3 linked regions of the Schizosaccharomyces pombe genome follow. The protein of the gene in region 3 interacts with the protein of the main gene of each other region in a biochemical or structural test. Each region holds a gene or a part of one and is shown on either strand. Other genes may lie near its edges.

Region 1 (7,549 bases), on a different chromosome or scaffold from region 3:
ATCATTGTTTTTACTTCATCATTAGCTGGATCCATGGGAGCTTTCTTCCCTTCAAGTCAATCTGCTTATGGCCAATCTAAGGCTGCCTTAAATTATACGATGAAGGAAATTAGTTTTGAGCTACAAGATGAAGGATTCATAGTGATTTCAATTCACCCCGGAGCTGTCCGAACCGATTCAGCTCAAGAAATTGTAAATCAGCATGCTGAAAAGAAACCGGAAATTTTGGATCTCTTTGCAAAGCAGGCCTTAACACCCGAGAAAAGCGCTTCAGATATGTTGAAAGTTGTAGACAATTTGAAGCCCGAAAATAATGGACTTTTTTACAACTATGATGGTACCATCATTCCTTTTTAGACATATTCTTTTTTGTACTTATGCAACGATGCCAGAATAAAGGATTTGGAAAAAAATGATCAACTTCTACAATTCTATATACACGAACAAATGACCATAGATCAAAAGAAAAAATTGTTGTACCCTTCAATCAGTCATGTACTATTACAGTTTTGGAAAGCTAGTAAAACCACTCGTTTTGTCTTTTGAGACTAGTTGTTTACGAGTAGCCTGCATTTTAATAATATATAAAGAAAAACTTTGTTCAACCTCAAACTCGAAGCTACCTTTTATAAATCGTAGATAATTACTCCTACCACCACCAAAGCTGGAAAACGAATTCTTCCATTTTTTAACCACAGTGGCAATGTTATCAGCCAAAATTACAGCGACGTCTGGTAAATAATTGAATAGCTATGAAGGCATGAACTGCAATGCTTTAATGTAGCTTACGGTTAACGACAATGTTTCCATACATTCACTACTTTTTGACGACCTTTTAAGGCAATAAATATGCGACTGAAGTGACGTAACAACATCAAATGTGTTAATAGCTGAACAGCCTTTAAGGGTTCAGTCTTTTCGTGAATTTTGGAATTTTCTGAGTACTTCAAAAAATAGAATATGTCTTCGGCTGACAAGATTTTCTTTATCGCAGGCGGGAATCGTGGTATTGGACTCTCTCTTGTTAAAGAGTTAAGCAATAGAGAAGGAACGACTGTGTTTGCGAGTGCTCGCAAACCCGAAGCTGCTACTGAATTACAAGAGTTGAGCAAGTCTCATTCCAATGTGCATATTATTAAGTTGGATGTCACTTCTCTAGAGAGTGAAAAGGATGCCGCCAAGCAGGTTGAAAAAATCGTGGGTAAAGTCGACGTTCTCTGGCTAAATTCAGCAATCTATCACTCTTATTCCTCTGTATTAGAAACTCCTGATGAGGTTTGGAACTCTCACTACCAGACGAATGTTTTGGGACCAATTCATGTCTACCAAGCCTTTTATCCTTTAATGAAAAAAGGAGCGTCTAAAACCATTGTCTTTACTTCATCATCAGTAGCATCCATGGGAGCTTTTTTTCCAATAACTGTTTCAGCTTATGGTCAGTCTAAAGCAGCTCGATGAAGGAAATTAGTTTTGAACTAGCTGATGAAGGCTTTATTGTAATTTCAATTCACCCAGGACTTGTACAAACCAAGATGTCAAAAGAGTCCAGTGAGCATTTTTCCAAACAACATCCTGTCATGTTAGAATACTTTCAAAAAAATTCCATTCCTCCCGATCAAAGTGCTGCACAAATGTTAAAGGTTGTAGACGACTTGAAACCCGAAAACAGTGGATCTTTTCGTACTCATGACGGTTTTGATATCCCCTTTTAAAGGTACTTTGCTCTCTAGATTCCAGTGTATGATTTGTTCAAACAATTGTTTTTTGTTAATTTCATATGTTCTTACAAATGTTTACGAGCATAAAAAGTTTGAGCGAGTCCAAGGTGCCACTTGGATTGTTCAGCAGTTTTAGATCTTGATACGTTTTATTCAACCTTTGGATATATAAAGAAGGGCGTCGCATATAAAAAATTCAAGTGTTCATACAGCAATGCTTAAATCGGTTGCAAACTTATATTTTATCTTAAAATTATTCTATTTCTATGTTTTTTTTGTTTAATAATTTTTATTGTGAAAGGACTTCAAGGTTTAAAAGAGTTGTTTTTTTGTATCCTGATTCAACGCTTTTCTCCTATGGCCAATGTCTCAGCATTATCAATTAAACAATTTTCAAATAAATTCTCCCTTTATGATACTTTATCAAGGAAATTAAAAGAAAGGTGCATTTAAAGGAATACTATTCAGTATGCAAGCAGTATCAAGGAAGCAGCTGACAAACCAATGGAACGGGTTATAAAGATTAGTTGCAATATCCATATTATATGGCAAAATATCACCTAACGCTCTACGTGAACTACTATGAACCTGCTGATTTTGGAAGTATATTCAATTATGTAAGCATCAAAATTCACGGTTCAAATCACGTAAGCATAATGATTTGAAGAATTGGTATATAAGCACGAAGTTAATGATAAATTGCCGACACCAAATTACACTTTTCAAACGGATTCAAGGATCATTCAAATATTGTGTTAGAATATGTCTACTACCAACAAAATTTACTTTATTGCAGGAGGAAATCGAGGCATTGGACTCTCTCTTGTTAAGGAATTGAGCAACAGAGAAGGAACAGTTGTATTTGCAAGTGCCCGCAAGCCTGAAGCTGCTACTGAATTACAAGAATGGAGCAAGTCTCATTCCAATGTGCATATTATTAAGTTAGATATCTCCTCTCTAGAGAGTGCTAATGAAGCCGCTCAAGAAGTTGCAAAAGCTGTAGGTAAAGTAGATGTTCTTTGGGTAAATTCGGGCATTTTTCATTCTTTCAACACTGTTCTGAATACTCCTGATGATGTCTGGAACTCTCACTATAAAACCAATGTTTTAGGACCAATTCATGTCTACCAAGCCTTTTATCCTCTTGTGAAGAAAGGAGAATCTAAAATCATTGTTTTTACTTCATCATTAGTTGGATCCATGGGTGCTTTCTTCCCATTTAACCAATCTGGTTATGGCCAATCCAAGGCTGCTTTAAATTTTACAATGAAGGAAATTAGTTTTGAGCTACAAGATGAAGGATTCATAGTGATTTCAATTCATCCCGGAATGGTTCGAACCGATTCAGCTCAGGAAGCTGTAAATCAGCATGCTGAAGCGAAACCGGAAATTTTAGATATCTTTGCGAAACAGGCCTTGGCACCAGACCAAAGCGCTTCAGATATGTTGAAAGTTGTAGACAATTTGAAGCCCGAAAATAATGGATTTTTTTTCAACTATGATGGTACTACAATTCCATACTGATGGAAATTCACATCATTAACAAGTCATTCGGATTTGCTGTTAAGCTGCATCAATATTATATAACCGAATGATCGAAGGAACTTACAATAACCCTAAATATATGTTTTAATCCGCTTGTATATCTTTTTTAATAATTAGAGATGAAGGAGGTTATGTCTATTTTTTATGTTTCACATACGAGTTGTTTTTGCACAATGAAATTTGATGATCATATTAATTGTACATTGCATGCATTATTAATGAAATAGAAATTTTTATTAAACAACGGTTATGTTTAACTAAACTGCTCTGTAAGTTCTTCGTACTTTCGCATAAAATACTTAACAATGGTTATGTTTTCTATTGTTTACCGAATAGTGAGGCATTGTTTAGATGTGCCTTCAGTATTTATATTTACTGCATTTTAATCCTTATATGTTTGAATCAAATAGGTGTTATTACCTTAGAGCACGAAAAGCGATATAAAATAGTCAAGCGTATCCTTAATTATCCGAACTCTACGAAACCTTTCTTCACCTACGCTGTTCTTGGCAATCGCTTAGACGCGTTTCACTTCGAAATGTCAATCGTGAATATCCTTAGTGTTAATGTGCTAAATAATCCGGCAAAGTTCTCTGATCCATATAAATTCGAAATTACCTTTGAATGTCTGGAGCCGTTAAAAAGCGACCTGGAATGGAAGTTGACATATGTAGGTAGTGCGACGTCTCAAAGTTACGACCAAATTTTGGACACGCTACTAGTGGGACCTATACCAATCGGGATTAATAAATTCGTTTTTGAAGCTGATCCTCCTAATATCGATCTTTTACCTCAACTCAGCGATGTTTTGGGTGTCACAGTTATTTTACTCTCTTGTGCATATGAGGATAATGAGTTTGTTCGAGTAGGTTATTATGTCAACAATGAGATGGAGGGCCTGAACCTTCAGGAAATGGACGATGCAGAAATTAAAAAGGTCAAGGTTGACATTTCTAAAGTCTGGCGCAGTATTTTAGCAGAAAAGCCAAGGGTGACTCGATTCAACATTCAGTGGGATAATCCCGACTTTGACGATGCTCCACCAGTTCAGCCTGACGCGGACGAAGAGGAAGAAGAGGAGGAAGCTGATGAAATGGAGGAAGAATTCGATGAAGAGGGAGAAGGCGATGAGGAGGAGGAGGAGGAAGACGATGGAGACGGTGATGGAGAAGGTGATGGTGATGGAGAAGGAGAAAATGATGGGAAAGGATCGGAAGAAGAAGAAGAAGAAGAAATTGATATAGAGGAAGAAGAAGAAGAGTCGGCTCTTGCAAATGCTTCAGCTGCGGAAGAGAAACCTGAGGAGAAACCAGAGACGTCTCAGTAAAATGATAATCGGACTATTTTTTGAATGCTAATACTAATATTGACAAGAACTAATCCGATAAAGAACATGATTACTTTTTTGTATACTCTCTTTTAGTTTGCGCATATATATCGCTCTACCCGTTATTTTTTCGATGTAAAATATTCATGACTGGTGATAGTGTGAGAATAAAAACTATGGAATGGGAAAAGAGGAATAGCATTTTTTTTCCTGTTACCATAAAGCATTTTTCATAACACATCTTTTATTTAAATTCATTTTTGAACCGTCGACCTTTCCGTTGCATAATGGAGGGAAGAAGCATCTATTGTATGCCTCTTCCAATCGCCCTAAACGCATCATTTGTACCAACGTTCCATATTTTGGAACGGAGTTCTATTAGATTATTATTTTCTTTTTTTCCCATGTAAATTGTTGAAAGACTTTCGCATCCTGGTGTATGAAGTGTGCATTTCATGTTTTTCAAAACATAATTAGGGCACAGACGCAAGCTTTCTCTCCTCGATTTATCCTTACGGGACGGGATCTTTTTCCAGTTTATTAATGTGTGGATCCATTATTAGTATGTTCCATATTTAACTTATTCATCCAAAAGACAGCAGCACTCATTCTAGTTTTCGCCCTATGTATATTTGTTTATTGCAAGACCCATCAGTTGCGTACTCCAATGTAATCCGTTCGCTAATAAAACGTATTATGACATAAAACGCTATTTAAATATTGCGTATAGCAATACTCAACTCAATTAAGGATAATGTCTCTTGCAGTGGCCTCTTTAAATTGAGTGACACCCCTAAGTCACAGCAATGGGAAATGACATGTATTGACGCTACGCTGGTAAGACACTTCCCAACCTCCCATTTTCCGCAAAAAAACAAAAAAAGCGCATTACTCAATGAGTACAGATTCCTTGCCAAGAAGTTTGATGGAGCAGTAAGTGGTTTTGCTAGTTCTTTGCTAAATTGATAGGAAAGCGATGGAATTGCAACAGCAATTGCAAGGTACGATGGCGGTGCGTTTTGGAGAAAGAAAAGACTAACAATTGATAGCTTTGTTGGATGAGATCGATCAAAACAAACAGGAATCTGAAAACATTAGTCGAGAAAGCGAGTATCTGTGCCAATACATCGGCAGCATGATGGCCTTTCAGAATCGTCAGACTGTTCCCAAGAAGTAAAGTCGTTTAACCCTCTTTATGAAGCAACACTTGTACAGAAAGAGTTGTTGATGCACCATTGAATTGATTAATCGCTTTTTTTGATGTTTTTTGTATGATTCGTTCGATGAAGAAGAAAAAAAAATAAGGTTCGTTTGGATAGATGCGTAAGAACGCTGTTAAAACTGCGAATTCTCAGAAAAGTTTTTGGACGAATGACTGGATTACTTTAAGTGTTTGTTTTCCGTTGGATGGATCAGCCCTTTAGCGGCCTTTAGCATTTTTTTACGTAGAGAAATTCCCTTGTACTGGTCGCTGTTGGTTGGATTGATCCATCCCTCGCTTTCCCCATCGTATTATAAAACACGTTGGCTTTACTTTCTGATTGCCCTCTTGAGTTCCCCACACGCCTTTCGACCCACATACCTTTTCGAGTTGTCTAATTAATATCGTTATTAAAAGACATGAATTATTGCAATTTTGTTTATCTCCTTTTTCATTGAGCGAAGAAAAAAAAAAGAAAGACCCTCCAATTATCATTTAAAACTTATTGCGTCTCGCTCAACCTTCATTGCAAGTGGGTAGGTGGGCTTTGAACACCTTCACGCTTTATTCTCTTGTTTCTGACCCTTTGATGTTCCCATCGATTTCCTTGGACATCATTCTGCCAAATGTGTTGCCATTTCATCTTTTTCTATTCTATTTTCTATTTTTTAAGCTCAACGTCACTGGCACTGAACTTTAGCACAGCTAGCTCGTTTTTGACTAATCTATACTCAATTGAAGTTCTGCATGACTACCATTAAATTTTTGTTTTATTTTTTTTACTTCTGGTCAAGTTTTAAATTTGTAAATATTTTCCTTACACAAGTAGACTTAAGATGTGTTGAAAGCTTCTTGATACCCTATGTACTAAAAAAACCCTGTAGCGTAAAACAATGCAGGAGGACAAATCATCCTGCAGTCATTTTATTTGTTACAAAGTATTTTAATAAAATAACTTACAAACTTTGTCGAAATTGAAATGAGTATAAATTTTTCAAGCTCTTTAAATAAAAACAAAAACTCATCTATCCCGACAATTACAAGTCAAAAGTTTTTCCTACCAGGTCAGGCCGCGCCGCCACCAACTACTAGAAAATTAAAGTACACTTAAAATCGTTTTATTTACAGATCATTCAACTCTACTATATTACACGACAATCCTTACGACTTGCATGGAACTGTTTACATAGTTATTGAAGACAACAGATACATTGCGTTTATATAGAAATTTTTCGCTCAAACAGAATGGATCCATTTTCTATTTTTGCACACGTAAAACGTAGGATACGCATAAAGCAATCCATAACTTCATGTACACGAACGCTATCTCAGTTAGAAAACAGTTACTCCACAAGCAAAGGCGTCGGTTGATTTTGTCGACATACCATTTTAGATGTTCAACTTGGTACGTCTCCAGTGTCTTCTCTTCATGTTATAATGAACAGTGTTTCCGGTGCGAAGACGAATCCATTGAGGAATGGGGCGGTTTTGACGCGCAGCCTTGGCAAGCTTTTGCTTGGTACGGAAACTCTTGTGAGAAGGCATTTTGTGGAAGACAGAGTGTTGCATCCACGCAACTAAAGCGAATGTGACTGCTCTTTTTTCACAACTGTGACTGTCTTTTGAAGGTTTTTGTAGGATTTAAGGAATAATTTCAACATACTATGGTACATATTGCTAGTAACCGTTAAAACTGTTTTGTGAAATATGCCGTCAGAGCGTTATTTAAACTAGAATTGAGATACTGAAGAAATAATT
Region 2 (7,508 bases), 190 kb from region 3:
GCCTCTCGAAGAAAAGAAGCTAAAGGCTATTGATAGATGTCATTTTACCAATGTGAAAAAGGTTATCCTCATTTTTAAAACCCAATTCTGGGAACCAAACATAAGTATATTTGGTTCACTACCACAAGATTCAGGTAGAAACTTTATATTTAACGATTGCACTCGATTTTACGAACATCCCACATTATCAGTCTTTGTGAAGGTTGAAGGGATCGACTTTATGAAGGATGATGATATAGTGAATGGGATTGTATCTCAACTTAAAAAAGTTTATAAACCGAAATCAGAAGCCATAAATCCTATTCGAACGATTATCAGTAACTGGGAGAATAATTCTTATACAAATCACTCATCATATCAAATATCCAATTTGTTTTTGGAAGAGGATTATGCAATATTGTCTGAGCCCATTGACAATACTGTGTTTTTTGCTAGTGAAGCAATTTCCCAAAAAAATTCAGGTTCGATACGCGGCGCATTTGATTCGGGCATACTGGCTGCTAGAGATGTTTTGGCTTCGTTAATAGGCAATGTTGTTTTACCTAACACTCTCGTTATTGAGGAAAACTTGGAACAACCCCGTAAAACGTACGGCACGAAGCGAAATGCTCAACAAGCTTTAGGCAAAGAGGGAGAAAGAGAAAATAAGGAAAAGCGCATTTCATACCATACCGAGTATTTACGCTTGAGACAAAAAAGACTTGATAAAGAACAGCAAGAATGTGATTTACTAATTGCCGAATTATTGGGACCGTCTCCTGTTCCACCATCAAGGCCTAGTGCTAATCCTTACCTTTTGTACCAAAAAACTCAATGGCACGTTTGTAAAACTCTAGCAGATCAGGATAAACAAAGAGTTACTGGCGATCCTGAAGCACGTGCCACAAAAAATGAGATACGTGCAAAATTGGGAAAGACATGGCGAGCCTTGGATAGTTTAGGTAAACAACCATGGGTTGATGAAATTAACGCGAGACGAGCAAATTATTCAACTCGCCTGGAAGAGTATCAACGTCAAATTAATTCCTACAATGTGAGAGTTGCCCAAATTAAATCCGAACATCAGCGAAGATGTGAATCTCAACCAATTCCTGAAGATGAGGCTAAGTTAAAATTACTTGCTGAACAAGAGGACGAACATCTACATCCTGAAAAAGAGGGCATGTCCGTTGAAAATAGTGATGATGATTATCATGATGATTTAGATTATGAGGATTCAATAAGTGAAGTATTCCCTGACAATTTCTCATGAGCTTCATTTAAAGTTTTTTTTTAAGGGTAGTTTATATGAGATAAAGATCAATTTTTACGTTTAAGTTATAATGGTATACTAAATTTTATTTTTTCATAGAAAGGAATGACATTTATGAAATGCATATCATCTTGTAAATCCACTTGTCGAAGCTTCCTAACCACCATAAACCCAATTCTCTACGATTTGCTTGGTTATCACATATATACGAGCTCTTTAGAGAAATACTAATATGTCAAAAAAATATGGCGGTCAAATTTCGTTTGATCCACCAGCTAGGTTGGAAAAAGATCAAGTCGTCGCCAAAGTTGTGCAACTTAAAGGATCTGCGCTTTTTATGGTAGTAGAAAACAATGGACAGGAATTACTTGTTGAGATGCCTCCAAAGTATCGTAATAAAATATGGGTTAGGAGAAATGGGTTTGTAATAGTTGATAAATCTGAGTTTTTAGAGAAGGACAATAAAATTGACGGTACTATATTGTACGTGGTACAAAGCCCTTTAAAAAATTGGAAAAAACAAATTTATTGGTAAGAAATTCTCTTGAAATAACATTAGATGATTGTGCTAACTAGTTTAAAGGCCTAAAGAGTTTGCAGATGAATCGTTAAATCAAAACGATTCTGAGGAAAGCAGCAGTAGCGAGGAAGAATACGATAGTGACTAACAATTTACAAAAAATACATATATTAAGAATCCTTACAACGAACCTTGTAAATTAAACCGATGATAAAAAGCGTATAACGGGAAATGCTTGCAAGAATTACTTCATCCCACAATCGCTCATTACAATTGAGTACTTTGTTACACTTTAAACAATCCAATGAGAAATACTGATATTATTACCCTAACATTAAGATATTATACTAACCTTTTCATTGAAACTGAAATCACCATGCATTAGCTTTATAGCAATCCTCACCATAAAAAGCAATGACAATCGTGCGATCATTAAATTTACAACCTTTCATCTCTTCCATTGCGACCTCTGCAGATCTGATATCGGAGTATCGTACAAAAACCTTTCCAGTTCCTAATCCCGAGTTTCTAGTGCCAATACTACGAGGAATTTTTATATCTATAAGTGGTCCATAATTCGAAAATTGGGTCTTTACAGACTCATATATGTCTTCATATTCTTGTACATCCATAATTTCGTCCCCAGTAATTAAATTATGTAATTGTAAGACTCTAGTTGGAATAGATTGTGATGACGCCTTAGCAAGTTCTGTCAAAATGGCCATTCCATTAGACTTATCTATCATAGCTTGATTGAGACCTACACAAGCAAATTGTGCGTGTAACTTGTTCCCATACGTATCTTTACCATCAAGACCGCTGATAGCTACTTCCGCATCAGAAGGATTTTTAAATTCGCAAAAACAAAAACCCTTCGAAGATCCATCTGCAATATTTTTTATCAATTGAAAGCTTAATAAATCACCGAAAGGCTTAAGTAGCTCCACCACTTGATCTTCGCCTAAATTTAAAGGTAAATTTGAAATGTAAATTTTGTCTTTTGAATCTAAAACGTCGTTCTTGGCATAATCATCACTTCTTTTTTGAGAAACTTCGGGGGTAATTTGAGGGACGATGTAATTTTGAATTCTTTGAAATTTTAAAAAGACATCATTAGAATATGATTCGGACTGAAGCCCCCAGAGGAAGGTGGCATCTTCAGGAGTAGCGACCTCAAGAATAGCAAAGTTTTCTTCTTTACAGACGTTGACAGAGGAGAAATGCTTTGTCTCGGGTTTATGGTATGTAGTTGAAATAAATAGATCTTCGATAAATGATACAAAAGCATCTTCAACGAATTCGTTAGGAATTCCAGTAACCACTAGTCGACGAGCCTGTCTGCTAGCACCTGGTTGTAAGGGCGGAGGGGGAGCAATAATACTTCCTTCCGCAGAGCGAGCAAATTCTAGCAATTTCTCTGGATCAGTAACTGCAGCTCTAGGAGCGCCTGGCAAAGGAAAAACACCAGACATTTTCGCCTGGTCAGCAGTAACCAATTCATAACCAGGTGGTTTAATGTCCCATAAAGAGCGCTTCCTTTTCCACTGATTTATTGGTGTTACATCTCTCAATTGTTCGAGTTCCTGTTCGATAGACCTTACGCTTCTTTCTCGGCTGGGAGGTGGACTTCTACTTCTTCCGACAGATGAATAACGTAATGATCGAGGCTCATAATCATCATATCTTCTTTCTCTTCTTGGCCTCTCATCCTCTCGATAACTTCTTTCACGAGATTCTCTATGTCTACGAAAATCACTTTCGTCTCGGCGACGTCTTCTAGGTCGTTCAGAGCCATAATGGCCTCTCGGGTCTTCCCTTCCTATCCCACCCGAACCTCTTTCTCGTCTAGGTTCTTCATCGCGATAATCTCTGTGTCGCTTGGGTATCCGTGAAGAACCTGATGATAATCTGGAAGACAAATCCATGTTAGTGAATGAATATGAGGCTATTTAAAAAATTATTCAAAAAAGAAGGGAGGGAAGAAATTCGTTTATTAAAATGAACTCTTAAATTCTCCGGAAAAAACTTTGATGAAAGTAGGGAATACAAAAGTACAAATTCTAATGAAATGATATGCGCGTCAATGCTCTTGGATTCCTTGCTAAAAAAAATTTATAACATGAACAATAATAATTAACTTATTTTTTCTTTATGTGATACGCCCAAGGTTAGTCAAAAGTTTCGACTTACTAAGTTAAGGTAGTGAGAGTTTGTAGTAACTTCGCCAGCGTCGTAATTTTAAGCACAACGTTGTTGACTTACATTTTCTTTTTAGTTTCAAATAGCAACTTTCGCTAAACTTGCATTATAGACAACACTGTAACTTACGAATGCAGTTAAATTTTCAAAAGCATTTATTTAAACTGTTGTCCTTACCCTAGTACCATTCTCCTAAGTTTTAACGAATTTTTCTCTTTTGACCATAGTATTTGATTGTATGGCTTTCTTTTAAAGCAATCTTTAAAAATTTACAGCTGCCATGAAATTCAATAATTTTCGTTTTTTTTTTGCCAGTACATCCACGATAGATTTAATGTTTGTCTCATTTTATCCTTGAAATCCATGCTCTTAAATTGTATGTTCAATCTTTTAAAAATTTACTTTATTACACAAGAAGACGTTTACATTCATTCAAAATTTATTATTATTTATTTTCATACTAGCTTTCCATTGTTGTAAAAGCCGCTCTTTTTTTTAAATATTTGTTTACTTACGGCCATCATCTTGTGCACTTATTCAGTCGCGCTGCTGTGATATCTAAAAATTCATGAAACGATTCTTTAATGAAGCGTGCGACATAAACACTCCAGATAAATCTGGGGTAAACGAGAACAAGTTATGTTTCCCTCCCTTAAAAGTTGTATGTCAAGCACCAGAGACAACAGTTAAAGGACAAGTTGCCAATACTAATAAGCACAATGTATATTCTACTAAAAATTCAATGTATCTGCTGGGGTTCGAAGAAATCCTAAACACCGTCCTCGATTGTGAACCGCATATCTTTACTGATGATGAGTTGAGGGTTATTGAAAACTTTAAAGCTTTAGACTCGGATGAACGGTACTTGTTTGTTCGTCTATTCATGCGTAAAAGAAATAAATGGTTCCGCGTGGGCCATTTGACTTATCCAGATTGCAAGGATGTTATTGCCTGCTGTAAGCAGCTTGTTCTGAAAAATTTTTTTGAAGATGAATCACTCATGTCAACTGAAGAAATAATTGAAATTCTATCTCTCGATGAATTGCGTTCGTTAGCTAGACAAACGAAGGTGTGTGGAAAAAGCAGGTCTGAAATTTCAAAAGAAATCATTTTCCTATCTAAAAGACAATCAGTACTACATTGTAATGGTCAACAATTTTTGTCCTTTGATGCTTTTGGTGTGATGCATAAGCAAGAGTCGTTTCTTCGGAAGCAACTATTATATCAATGCAAATCCTGTGTGAAACCAAAGAAAATTTTAGTAGACCTATTTCATCGAATTAATATTGTGTACTTTCGTTCGTCCATTTATGATGAACAATCGCTTACGTCTTTAATATTAGCACGCCTTAACAAATTTTCCTACCCGAATTACGTTTTATCGCGAACTTCAAACGTCTTTAATTGTCGTGCTCAATGCCTTGAATACGTTGAGGTTTTAGAACTTTCAAAAAACTTGGTTCCAATCTTTGAAAACACTGCCGCTTCGGATAAGGAAGCACTCGAACAAGCGTTGAACAGTTTTTTTGAAATATATCCTATATGGTCGACATATCTAAATGAAGACATTAGGGAATTTTGGGTGGAAGAAAATAGAAAAGTAGATACTCGATTGGTAAGGTTTTCTTTTAGCTTTCGTCCTGGTGCTGTTTACACATACTTAATACATAAAAGTCTAAATATTCTCGCGAAGTCGCGATTAGTTGAGGTTGAACATGAAATATTAGATACCCTTTTATCTCAAAATATATATTTGGTGGGTAAAAGAGGACATTGGTATAATAGAAAAGCCTTACTGGAATACAACTTTAAAACTGAGGATACTAACGTTTTGCGTTATTGGAAAACGCTTGCTTTATCAACTTGTGAAAATGGTATTGAAGACAAGTATACCCACCTCAGATATTACTTTAGCTTACAAAGGAGACTTGTTCGCTTACGGAAGTGTTTAAAAGTCTCTAATACTACCGAATTAAAAAGCATGAAACTTATAAATAATAATCCTTCAAGACTTTTTCTTCATGGTGAACGAATACATAACGGTGACCTTTCAAACCGGACTGTTTGGCGTAGCAAGACTAATAATGCTATCACAGTTGAAGAGCTTGCTCTTCAACATTATCAATCGATTGGGTGGGAAGGTATACATGCTGAAAGCAGCATTTTGCTAACTTTGTTTGCTTTGACATTCTGGGATATTTTGTTTGAGGACGTTCCTGGTGTTTTTCAATCTCCGTTTCAAAGTGCACCTTTGGATTTGCACACTGATTCCTTTTATATATCTAGAGAATCGACAATCATGAAAAGACTTGAGGAAATAAGAAATGGGAAAGCTGGCCTAATTATAAAAGATAATTATATCAGAGAGCACCAAAGAAAAACATTTTGTGTAGGTCTTAATTGGTCGTATACTTGCGAAATGCTTCTTGAAATTGTCGATTGTATCAACGATAATGGACTCGCCCAAATATTTCTTGCTTTGACCCAAGATTATAAAAATAGTTCTAGCGGGATACCTGATTTATGTTTGTGGAATCCGTCTAAAAAAAAATTTATGTTTTCAGAAGTTAAAAGCGATAATGATAGGCTCTCAGAAGCGCAAAAATTCTGGATATCATTACTAATATCCAGTGAAGTTGATGTTGAAGTTTGTCATGTCTCCATGCACAAAAAAAAATAAAAAACGTGATTGTTAATCTTTTCATTAAATGCATAGCTTATGTAAATTACACTTTGCTTGCTGAATTACCATCGTTTTGCCAAGGAGAATAACTTAGTCATTTCTCATTTTAGAAATGTTGATTGATTTTGAATGGATTAAGTATATAATATGCAACTTATTGGACTGAATTCACATATTCTATTCCAGTATATAATTAAGTTTCAACCCATGTTTTCATGCTGTATACCAATTTGTTTAAAATCACATTCATAATCAAGTAGGATTTTTAATGATACATTGCTTTTTAATCAGTTTAAAGTGAAATAGAACTTACGTTTATCAATGACTTAGTTATAGCTAAAATACTAAGAAATCTGAACGTGATTATTATTGATTGGTCTCAGAATTCGCAAGCTTGACTTTCTATTCTTGGGTAACATGTTACCCAAGTAATTTAGTGTATATGTTTGCAAAACACTATGAGTCACAGGTAAAGCGAGACTCAATTTTTTGTATTAATAGCCACTTTTTGAGAATTGTGGTTTTTAATCCTAAAAATAAAACAATTAGTGGATTTTCCTCTCAATTTTATTTTGAAATTTAAACAACTCTTATTAGTAATTCAAAATGGGTGGTGGAGATCTAAATATGAAGAAAAGCTGGTAAGTGGATTTATTTGCATTAATATAATTGTTTAAAGATGTTTTACTAATATTATGATTAGGCATCCTCTGCTAATGAGGAACCAGGAAAAAGTTTGGAAAGATGAGCAAGCTCACAAAGAAGAGATGAAGCGAGTCGAGCAACTTAGGCGAGAAATTGAAGAAGAACGTCAACTATTGGAATTACATCGGCTACAAGAAGCTGCTGGTGGA
Region 3 (8,742 bases):
TTTCAAAACCTAACACCGTAACGCATTTGCGCTATTTGAGGTAGTTTGGCATTGATTGCTCAGAGTTGAATATCTTATTAGCATCAGATAGTTTATAAACTTATAGAAACTGATTTTAGGCTTTATATATTTTGCGCATCTCGTTACTGTGTGTTGCAGCCAGGCTCAGAGTTTGCTGGCAAAATCGGAATATAAGAGTCCGGGTACAAAATTTTCTATCGATATATCGCTATCTCCCCAGAACCTTTTCGCAGCAAATTGTTGCATTGAATGTCTCCAGTCGGTTTTAATCTTTAAAAAGAGCTATTAGCTTCTTTCTTCAAGAAATACTTATTCTAAGAAGTTAAAGTTTAATACTGTTGTCAGTGCAATAGAAATAGCTGAACGTATTAACAAATTCTCTGTAATTACACCGTCAGACTAGAATTGGTTCTTGGATATCTTCGGTTCTTCTTTTTTCACCGCTTGCGTCTGATTTACTTTTGATAATCAGGGTGGTATGTTCCATAGATTGGTTGATTCACCAGTCTTCCAAATATTTGATCTTCGCTGCTAATTTTTATTTTTTTTTATCTAAGAAATAAAGATTGGAGTTTGTGATATAAAATTCATATATATATAATATATATACATGTGTATATCTAACAGAAATTAACCTAAAAAATATACATATACCTCCTTCTCATCCTTCTTTTGTATCTTACTCTTTTGTGATACGATATTAGATTGAAATACAGCTGTGCTGTCTTTTTTTTCTTTCAACTTTTCTCTATTTCAATTTTTGCATTTTGAAAGTTATACATATTTCCTTTCAATACGGATAGTGGGTTGATTTCACTATATCCAGTTTTTACTATCATAAAAGCGTTGTATAGTATTATTTTATATCCTATGCACACGCTTGTCTAATCTTCCTTTGTCGCTCAATTCAACATTATCGAAGGTGTTTAAACCCATCTCTCTATACTCATGGCCGAACGTACTTCAGAATCGTCAAGCGAAAGTGCTAGCTTCGACCTTGAAAAACAGCAATCCAATCATCATGATCGGTATCAATCCTCTGTCTCTTCGGAATTAGAAGAATCTCTCAAAAAATATCCGGTCATTAGCAATCCTCAGGATTTCATAGTCACATTAGACGGCCCTGATGACCCTGACTTGGCTGTTAATTGGCCTTTAGCCAAAAAGCTTCGTAACGTAGCTGTTATGGGCAGTGCGTGTTTGTGCGCCGGTTTTGGTTCTTCTATTTTCTCAGGTGCTGTACCCGAGGTTATGGTCAAATTTCACGTTTGTCGCACGGTGGCTTTACTGGGAATTAGTCTTTACGTCCTTGGATTTGCCTCAGGACCTGTTGTATGGGCTCCTATGTGTGAATTATTTGGTCGTAGACGACCAATGATTATTGCTGTATTTATCTTCTGTATTTTCCATATTGCCGTTGCGACGGCCAAAGATATCCAAACCGTTATGATCTGTCGTTTCTTTTGTGGATTTTTTGGTAGTTCACCAATTACGACTGTCGCTGGTTCCTTTTCGGATATGTTCAGTGCTCGAACTCGTGGTCTTGTGATTGCAGTTTACTCTGCTATTATTTTTAATGGACCGTTAATGAGTCCAATTGTTGGTGGTTTTATTGGAAAATCATACTTGGGATGGAGATGGACGTCCTACATTACTGCAATCATGGGATTCACAGCATTTACATCTATGATTATATTTCACCGTGAGACATATACCCGCACAATTACAGAGATACGAGCGTCCAAGGTGAGAGTACTTACTGGGAACTATTGCTTACATGCCAAATCAGAAGAAGAGCCCTTGGAATTCTCATACTTTTTCCACAAATACTTCACATTTCCTCTCCGTCTTTTAATATTTGAGCCCATATTACTTGTGGTTTCAACTTATACCGCTTTCGTATATGGTATCCTTTATGGATTACTTGAAGCATACCCAGTTATTTTTGGGGAGAGTCGAAAATGGAGGTTGGGTGTTGAATCTCTTCCGTATTTGGCTATTTTTGTTGGTGTTTGTATTGGATGCTCTAGCGTTGCCCTGTTCCAGCCCTACTATTTTAAAAAGATGGATGAAAATAAAGGAAGACCTGTTCCTGAAGCACGACTTCCCTCCATGATGATCGGTTGCATTGTCTTTCCCATTGGCATCTTTTGGCTTGCTTGGACTGGTAATTATCCATGGATTCATTGGATTGTTCCAACTTTGGCAGGTAGTTTTATTGGCTTTGGAATCATTACAATTTTTCAACAAACAATCAATTATATCATTGATTGTTATAGTGGATGTTCTGCTTCTGCAATCGCGGCCAATACATTACTTAGAAGTTCGTTTGGCGCGGCATTTCCTCTTTTTACAACCCAAATGTTCAATAATTTGGGAATTGGTTGGGCTGGTTCTCTGGTCGGATTTGTTGCAGTTGGGCTTATTCCAGTTCCTTTTATGTTGTTTTTATATGGGCCGAAATTACGACAAATGAGCAAGCACTGTCTAAAGGATTAATTCGTCATAGAAGTCCGCTTTTTAGTTGATTTGCTTGACCCTCTCTTTTCCAGTTTTTGTTTTTCTTATTTCTGTTATATTCATCTTTTTTATTCAGAAACCATGCCCGCGGTTTGTTGCCTTGGGTTAATGGCCTCAGCATTTACTTGTTGTTATTGTTATTTTCGTTAATTTAACCAGTTTGCTGCCGTTTAGATATTTAGAAACGATGGACTTTGTTTTAAATGATCTCTATTACCCGCTGCCTCTTTCTTTTGTCTTTTTGTGACTTCTTTAATAATTCATCATCCTCAATGATTACTTTTGTTGATCTCCGTTTCCTTTATGTTTCTGATCATCACAAAAAAAGTACCTTTCAAATAGACATTTATATTTATTGGTTGGTTATGAACCTTACATATGATTTCCGTTTACCATAATACATTGCTAAGACCTCAACAAAAATAACTGTTAGCACAGGCCATACTTGTCAATTTATTATATCCCGTTTTTATCAATGTAATTGAATGTTTTCGAGTCCAGGTCTTGCCCGTAGAATCACGGTTAGTGTGAGTAGGTAGTAGATCTCGGGCCGTAGGTGTGAATGCCGTAAAGCTAGAACATTATCTGAGAATTTTCATTTTAAGAACGCCGTATGTTGAGAGAGAAAACAGATCTTAAATATCCCTCTTTTCAACGACTCAAGAATTGTTTACATTTTTTCTAGCTATCCTGTCGAGATCTAAGAGCTGAATGGGATACAGTTATAATGGATAACGATATAAATTTGGAAGACCTTAACACATCTTATGGAATTCTAACGGCTGGGCTACTTCGGTAAAAGTAGTTAGTAAGGGATAGCGATGGGATGAAAGCGCAGGGGGTTCATATTCTATCAACTGCTGATATTTTTAGTGATGCCTTAGTCATTGGTATTCATATATACGGATTTTTAAGTAGTATTATTAAAATATTTATGGTACAGTAACGGAGTGTAAAGGTGGCTTCTCCTACTGGCGTAAAATAATTAGTAAACCATTTTCCCATTTTTTGTTATTTACTATATCGAAACGCTCTTCCTAATGCGCAAAGTTTCCTCGGTAGTGTGCTAAGACTCCACGGTGTTTCCCCGTGTTGATTTTCGCACTAAAAATACTACTCCATACCGTATTTATAACCAGAACAAACAACAACAACAACGAAGGAATTGGTGTATTCACATATCTCAGATATTTTAATTTAAGAGCTGGAGGGACATATCAGTAGTTTCTTCATACGGGGCAGCCAGCCATTTTGAAATGGGAAGTGACGGGTCGAGTTTGTCACCGAAAGTGTCACAACCGGGACACACTGAAATAGTTGACCATGTCAGTGAAAAGGTGATCACGAATGGAAAAAATGTTAATAAAAAGGTCAATGCTGAAGTAGACGGAAAAAGCATGGTGGAAAAGGTAAAAACGCACGAAGAAAATGCAGAGGACTATCACTATGGTGGATACCACCCAGTCTACATTGGTGAAGAATTTCATCACCGTCGATATGTCGTTGAAAGAAAATTAGGCTGGGGACATTTTTCAACGGTTTGGCTTGCATATGATCGAGCTGCCAAACGGAGAGTAGCTTTGAAGGTGGTGCGTTCAGCAGAGCACTATCGAGAGACCTCAATTGATGAAATTCGCATTTTGCAGAAAATTAGAGAAGGGGACGAAAAGCATTTGGGCAAAAAGCATATCATTTCTTTGCTCGATTATTTTGTGCATCGTGGTCCTAATGGAGCTCATGTCTGTATGGTATTCGAAGTTCTCGGTGAGAATCTTTTAAGTTTGATACAGTCATACGGCCATCGAGGAGTACCTGTGGGTATTGTAAAGCAAATTGCCTACCAATTACTCATCGCTCTGGATTACTTGCATCGAGAATGCGGGATCATTCATACTGATCTTAAACCCGAAAATGTTTTAATATGCATTGATCAGGATGCCTTGCAACATATTGAGGCACCTGCAACAACTTCCTCCCCCACTTCTAATACCTCTTCTTCAAAAACAAGAAATAACACTGGTTATACAGCCAAAGCTCCAATTATTAAACGTGGCCAATCTGTAGATAACTCTGCCCAAGAACGCAAGACATTTGCAAAAAATCCAACTAAGAATTCTAAGCCTGCTGGCCAGGTCATTCCTAGCAGTCCTTTTACTTCCACTTTGAGCCGCTTTCCTTCATTAGAAGGTGCTGTTTCAGAAATCAGCCTTCGTGACTCTCAAAAGCATAATTCTCATCCTAATTCTCCGTTTTCTAGTGGAGATAATTCTCTTATACTTGATGGTGTTAACGGTTCTCAGGAACCCGTTCCAAAAATCACTGTTAAAATTGCCGATCTCGGTAACGCGTGCTGGACACGGAAGCATTTCACCAACGATGTGCAAACCCGTCAGTATAGGTCTCCAGAAGTAATTCTAGGATGTCGCTGGGGAGCTTCCGCTGATTGCTGGAGTTTTGCCTGTATCATTTTTGAATTGCTAACCGGCGATTACCTTTTCGATCCACGGAATGGGAATTCTTATTCTAAGGAGGATGACCACATTGCCCAAATTATTGAGTTATTGGTTAATTATCCTAAGCAAATGGCACTTTCAGGAAAGCACTCCCGCGATTTATTTAACCGTCGCGGTGAACTCCGAAATATTCATAAATTGAAGTTTTGGCCTTTAAAAGATGTTTTGGAGCAAAAATACCATTTTTCAGCCGAGTTGGCTCAACAAATATCAGACTTTTTATCTCCTATGTTATGTTTTGATCCTGCCAAGCGAACCAATGCTGGTTACATGAGCAATTCTCCATGGTTGCGCGAAGTGGCTGATCCTACGTTCAAAATCGAGACTACTGGAGCAACCGGTGAAGATGTACCCGGATGGGCTACTGAAATTCGTTAGTGTTTACCTTGATATTGGTTTTGAAGCGCTAGTAAATGATTTTTTTTTATATATAGTTTTTTTTTGCGATATCGTCCCTTTTTTAATTTCCCACCATTAGCGTGATTGCTTTAAAAAAGCATGACACCTTTCACTCTGAAATGGGTTACGTATGATTATCACGATTCCTTCTTTTGATCAACATTTACTGCACTGAAATTTGAACGAAATTTCCTTTTACTTAATGAATATTTAAGATATAGCAGGGTTTAGGTCAGCTGCTTTTTAAATCATATTATGTTTAGAAAACGCATAAAATAAAGTTTTGTCATTCAAAAGGAAGTTAATTGGAAATTGGTAACTTGTAATGTCACATATTAATATACTGTTCAGAATGCTGTCGAAAGAAGGAACAAACCGATGGTAAGATAACTCATTAAGGAACCATTAGATTAAACCGTACCTTTATTTCTCCTTTCTTCCAGCATTCGTTTTTCAAATTCGGTATTAAAATACTTTCTATCGCAGTCTAAAATAAATCTGGCACAACTTTCTTTGGATTCTTGAAGTCTCTTATTTGACTCACGGTATTCATCTGCTAAAGAAGAAGAATGAGGGTCAATTTGGGGTGGTTTTTGAGGACGGCCAGAGTTTTTTTGGGCTCGTTGGAAGTCAACACATAATCCAAGTAATTTTTCCGTTGTATACATATTACCAATGCAAGTGTGAGGCTGATAATGCATATATAGATCGAGTATATCCGCAATCACTGCTTCCGTTAGTGCTGGTGGAGCGAAGAACGATCTGGGAATTATAGGTTGAGGAAGTTGCTGTAACTTGCAAGCAATAGAAATCGATGCGACGGCAACAATATGGGCTGGATATTTTAACATTGTGTATGTTTTATAAGCATCAGTGCAGACATTCCAAGCTATACTTGCCGTGGAAGATGAAACTGAAAGTAAATTAGTTAACTCGAAAATTATAAGGTAAAATGAATAGCAGTCATACATTTCAGTGATTTTGCAAATTTTACCATGTAATTGTGTGGATGTCGGACTCGAAAATCGAAACAAATCAATTCCAGTGTCATTCTTTCTAAACCTAGAATCCTCTTCTTGTTCTCTTCGATTAGCTAATACACCTGTAAGCAAGTCTCCTTATAAACAAAAAACAATTATTGCGCACCTTGTAACATACTTGTGAATGAGCATCGACCTCAGAACCTGGATGCTTTTGAAGATAATGTGCTAAAAGAATATCACGAAACTTTTTGGCCGTATCTTCGATTTTACTAGCAACTACTAAGCAAGCAGTAGCGCACTCCTAAATGTGTTAGTTATTTTTGAAAGAAAAAGAGCCTAAATCAAGAGAATATGATGTTTATAACTTGGAGTAGCTGAGCTAACATTATTAAAAACTGTAGTCTTTTTTAATAGTATGACCAATGTACAGCATTCAGAATATTCTTATATCAGAATACGTAAAATTTCAAATAGCACAGCATACTCATGTGCGAAAGACATCCAAATAACATACCAGCAAAGGAATTTCATTCACGGGAAAAAATAGTTGGAAACGACTGTATAAAAGCATTGCAAGGCCGCTGGTCCTTACAGGGCTAAAAAAAAGTTAGATTCTAGATAATTTTGAGGAAAAGCATACAATTTTAAAGTTTTTGAAAGTGTTGATATCCAAGCGAACGCCTGCATTCGCAAATTATTTTCTTTGGGATCTCGCGTCGACAAAATTCGACTTATTTCTTTTTCTGAATAGTATGGGTGTGACATTCGTATTGAAAGTACATGATTCTCATTTTCTGCCATTTTAGCAGCTAAAATGGTGCTGGGTTTGTGAAGGCCTGGCTTTACCTGCAAGGTGCAAGTATGCTGAAGTTAAGCGATTCCTTTTAAGTAACGCATTTTATCATGTTGTATACTGTAAATCAATTAAAATAAAATAATTTTAATTCAGCAATTGCAGCTCGAAATTATCATGGAAATGTTCGCAGTTATTGAATTTGTAAATTATGACAGTCCTGCGTGCTATTGTAAAAGAGTTATGAAATTACTCATTTCTAAAATAAAATGATTGTTTAACCTTCGGAGTGTTCGTCGTTTAATTTCTGAAAGTAGCGAACTCCTACACTACAACATGATTTTAGTAAATTAGTTATTTAAGTAAGGAATAGAGACGCTATGACCTTCACGCCAATTTGTCTGTTAATTAAAATATTTTTTGCATTTTTTTTTGTCTAATGAAACAGACATTTCGTCAAATTGAGCTATCATAAGAAAACATTAAACATCTAATAAATTCATATTTTCCTAATAATTCTATCATTTTGCATATTCTTATTAACTAATTAATTTTTGCGATTATAAACGCCAAACATTTCCTGAAAGCTTTCCTTTCAATCTTTTAAAGTGAAACTCTCTTATTTTTTTTCTTATTAAACTAGTAGATATAGGATGATAATATCTTTTAATTATTTATACTATACATTGCTTCATTATTTCAGCAATTTTTACGTTCATTATAATTTAAATTCTGCTGCACAAGAAGATATGTATTTTCACTTCTTTATTAATGATAATTTACCATGCTTAGTACATGAGAAAGGCCCACAACTGAATAATTTTATGGTGATACCAGGATTCAATTTTAGGATGGTAATTTTAATAATAAATAAATCATAGAATTGAACCATTTGAGTGTTGTCATATGCATTTTTTTAATCTCTTAGGGTTATTTTCTATTCCAAACATTTCAGATAAAAAGATCGTTCACAATTTCTGCAAATCCAGACACTGCCTTTTGAGAATTTAAAAATATCCAAAAAGTAGATGAAGTATACAAATTTCATCTTGAAAAATACCTGTGCAAAGTTCTGTTTCAATTTTTGTAATTGATCTCACACTTCAATTGTCTAATACATACTTATATATTACAACTTTAAACTTTCGCTTAGATAAAAGCTTAGATAATACGTAACTCATCAATTCCTTGGGTAATTTTCTGAACCGTATTCAACACTCTTTATTTTCGCCATGTTGAGCTGTAGCTCATTTTTAATCTTTTTTCTATTCTCTTGGGTTCTTTTACCTATGAAAAGTTTTGCAATACCAATTATTAGTTTGGATAAGGTCCGACTAGCTATTAATGACGGAGCTTCTGAACAATTACCTGTGGTGATTTGGCATGGCTTGGGCGATACTCCCACTAGTTTTACTCTTACAGAGGTTAGCCAGCGTGTTCAGAAACTAACTAAAGGTGCGGTATATGCTATCCGCGTCGGTGACAACGAATTTGAAGACATAAAAGCTGGCTA

What was found.
Region 1: of the proteins of dsk1 (region 3) and asf1, one has a biochemical effect on the other in vitro, tested with the Schizosaccharomyces pombe proteins (one study listed by BioGRID).
Region 2: of the proteins of dsk1 (region 3) and prp2, one has a biochemical effect on the other in vitro, tested with the Schizosaccharomyces pombe proteins (4 studies listed by BioGRID).

Annotation. Positions count from the first base shown.
Region 1 is NC_003421.2:1,640,808-1,648,356, reverse strand, and holds asf1 (histone H3-H4 chaperone Asf1), read left to right. Parts: upstream 1-3,772; 5' UTR 3,773-3,801; coding exon 3,802-4,590; 3' UTR 4,591-5,455; downstream 5,456-7,549. Other genes in the region: SPOM_SPCC663.08C (short chain dehydrogenase ), read left to right, coding at 1-357; osr1 (dehydrogenase), read left to right, coding at 2,481-3,242; SPOM_SPCC663.18 (GTPAse-interacting protein), read left to right, coding at 5,486-5,523, 5,560-5,591, 5,640-5,767; rpl39 (60S ribosomal protein L39), read right to left, coding at 7,181-7,336. UniProt on the Schizosaccharomyces pombe protein: Histone chaperone that facilitates histone deposition and histone exchange and removal during nucleosome assembly and disassembly.
Region 2 is NC_003423.3:1,009,744-1,017,251, reverse strand, and holds prp2 (U2 small nuclear RNA auxiliary factor small subunit, U2AF-59), read right to left. Parts: upstream 3,943-7,508; 5' UTR 3,698-3,942; coding exon 2,144-3,697; 3' UTR 2,073-2,143; downstream 1-2,072. Other genes in the region: lsd1 (histone demethylase SWIRM1), read left to right, coding at 1-1,252; tif1102 (translation initiation factor eIF1A-like), read left to right, coding at 1,485-1,783, 1,836-1,920; fan1 (fanconi-associated nuclease 1), read left to right, coding at 4,540-6,651; protein Cwf25, read left to right, coding at 7,261-7,295, 7,358-7,508. UniProt on the Schizosaccharomyces pombe protein: Necessary for the splicing of pre-mRNA. The SF1-U2AF59-U2AF23 complex has a role in the recognition of the branch site (5'-UACUAAC-3'), the pyrimidine tract and the 3'-splice site at the 3'-end of introns.
Region 3 is NC_003423.3:822,869-831,610, reverse strand, and holds dsk1 (SR protein-specific kinase Dsk1), read left to right. Parts: upstream 1-3,678; 5' UTR 3,679-3,797; coding exon 3,798-5,432; 3' UTR 5,433-5,863; coding exon of another isoform or gene 5,864-6,366; 3' UTR 6,367-6,422; coding exon of another isoform or gene 6,423-6,546; 3' UTR 6,547-6,611; coding exon of another isoform or gene 6,612-6,737; 3' UTR 6,738-6,806; downstream 6,807-8,742. Other genes in the region: SPOM_SPBC530.15C (spermidine family transporter), read left to right, coding at 970-2,520; lsc1 (Lsk1 associated cyclin), read right to left, coding at 5,864-6,366, 6,423-6,546, 6,612-6,737, 6,951-7,032, 7,077-7,237; palmitoyl protein thioesterase/ dolichol pyrophosphate phosphatase fusion protein Pdf1, read left to right, coding at 8,462-8,742. UniProt on the Schizosaccharomyces pombe protein: May play an important role in mitotic control by altering cellular location, degree of phosphorylation and kinase activity. Abundant expression accelerates the exit when cells are in M-phase and also delays the entry into mitosis when cells are in G2.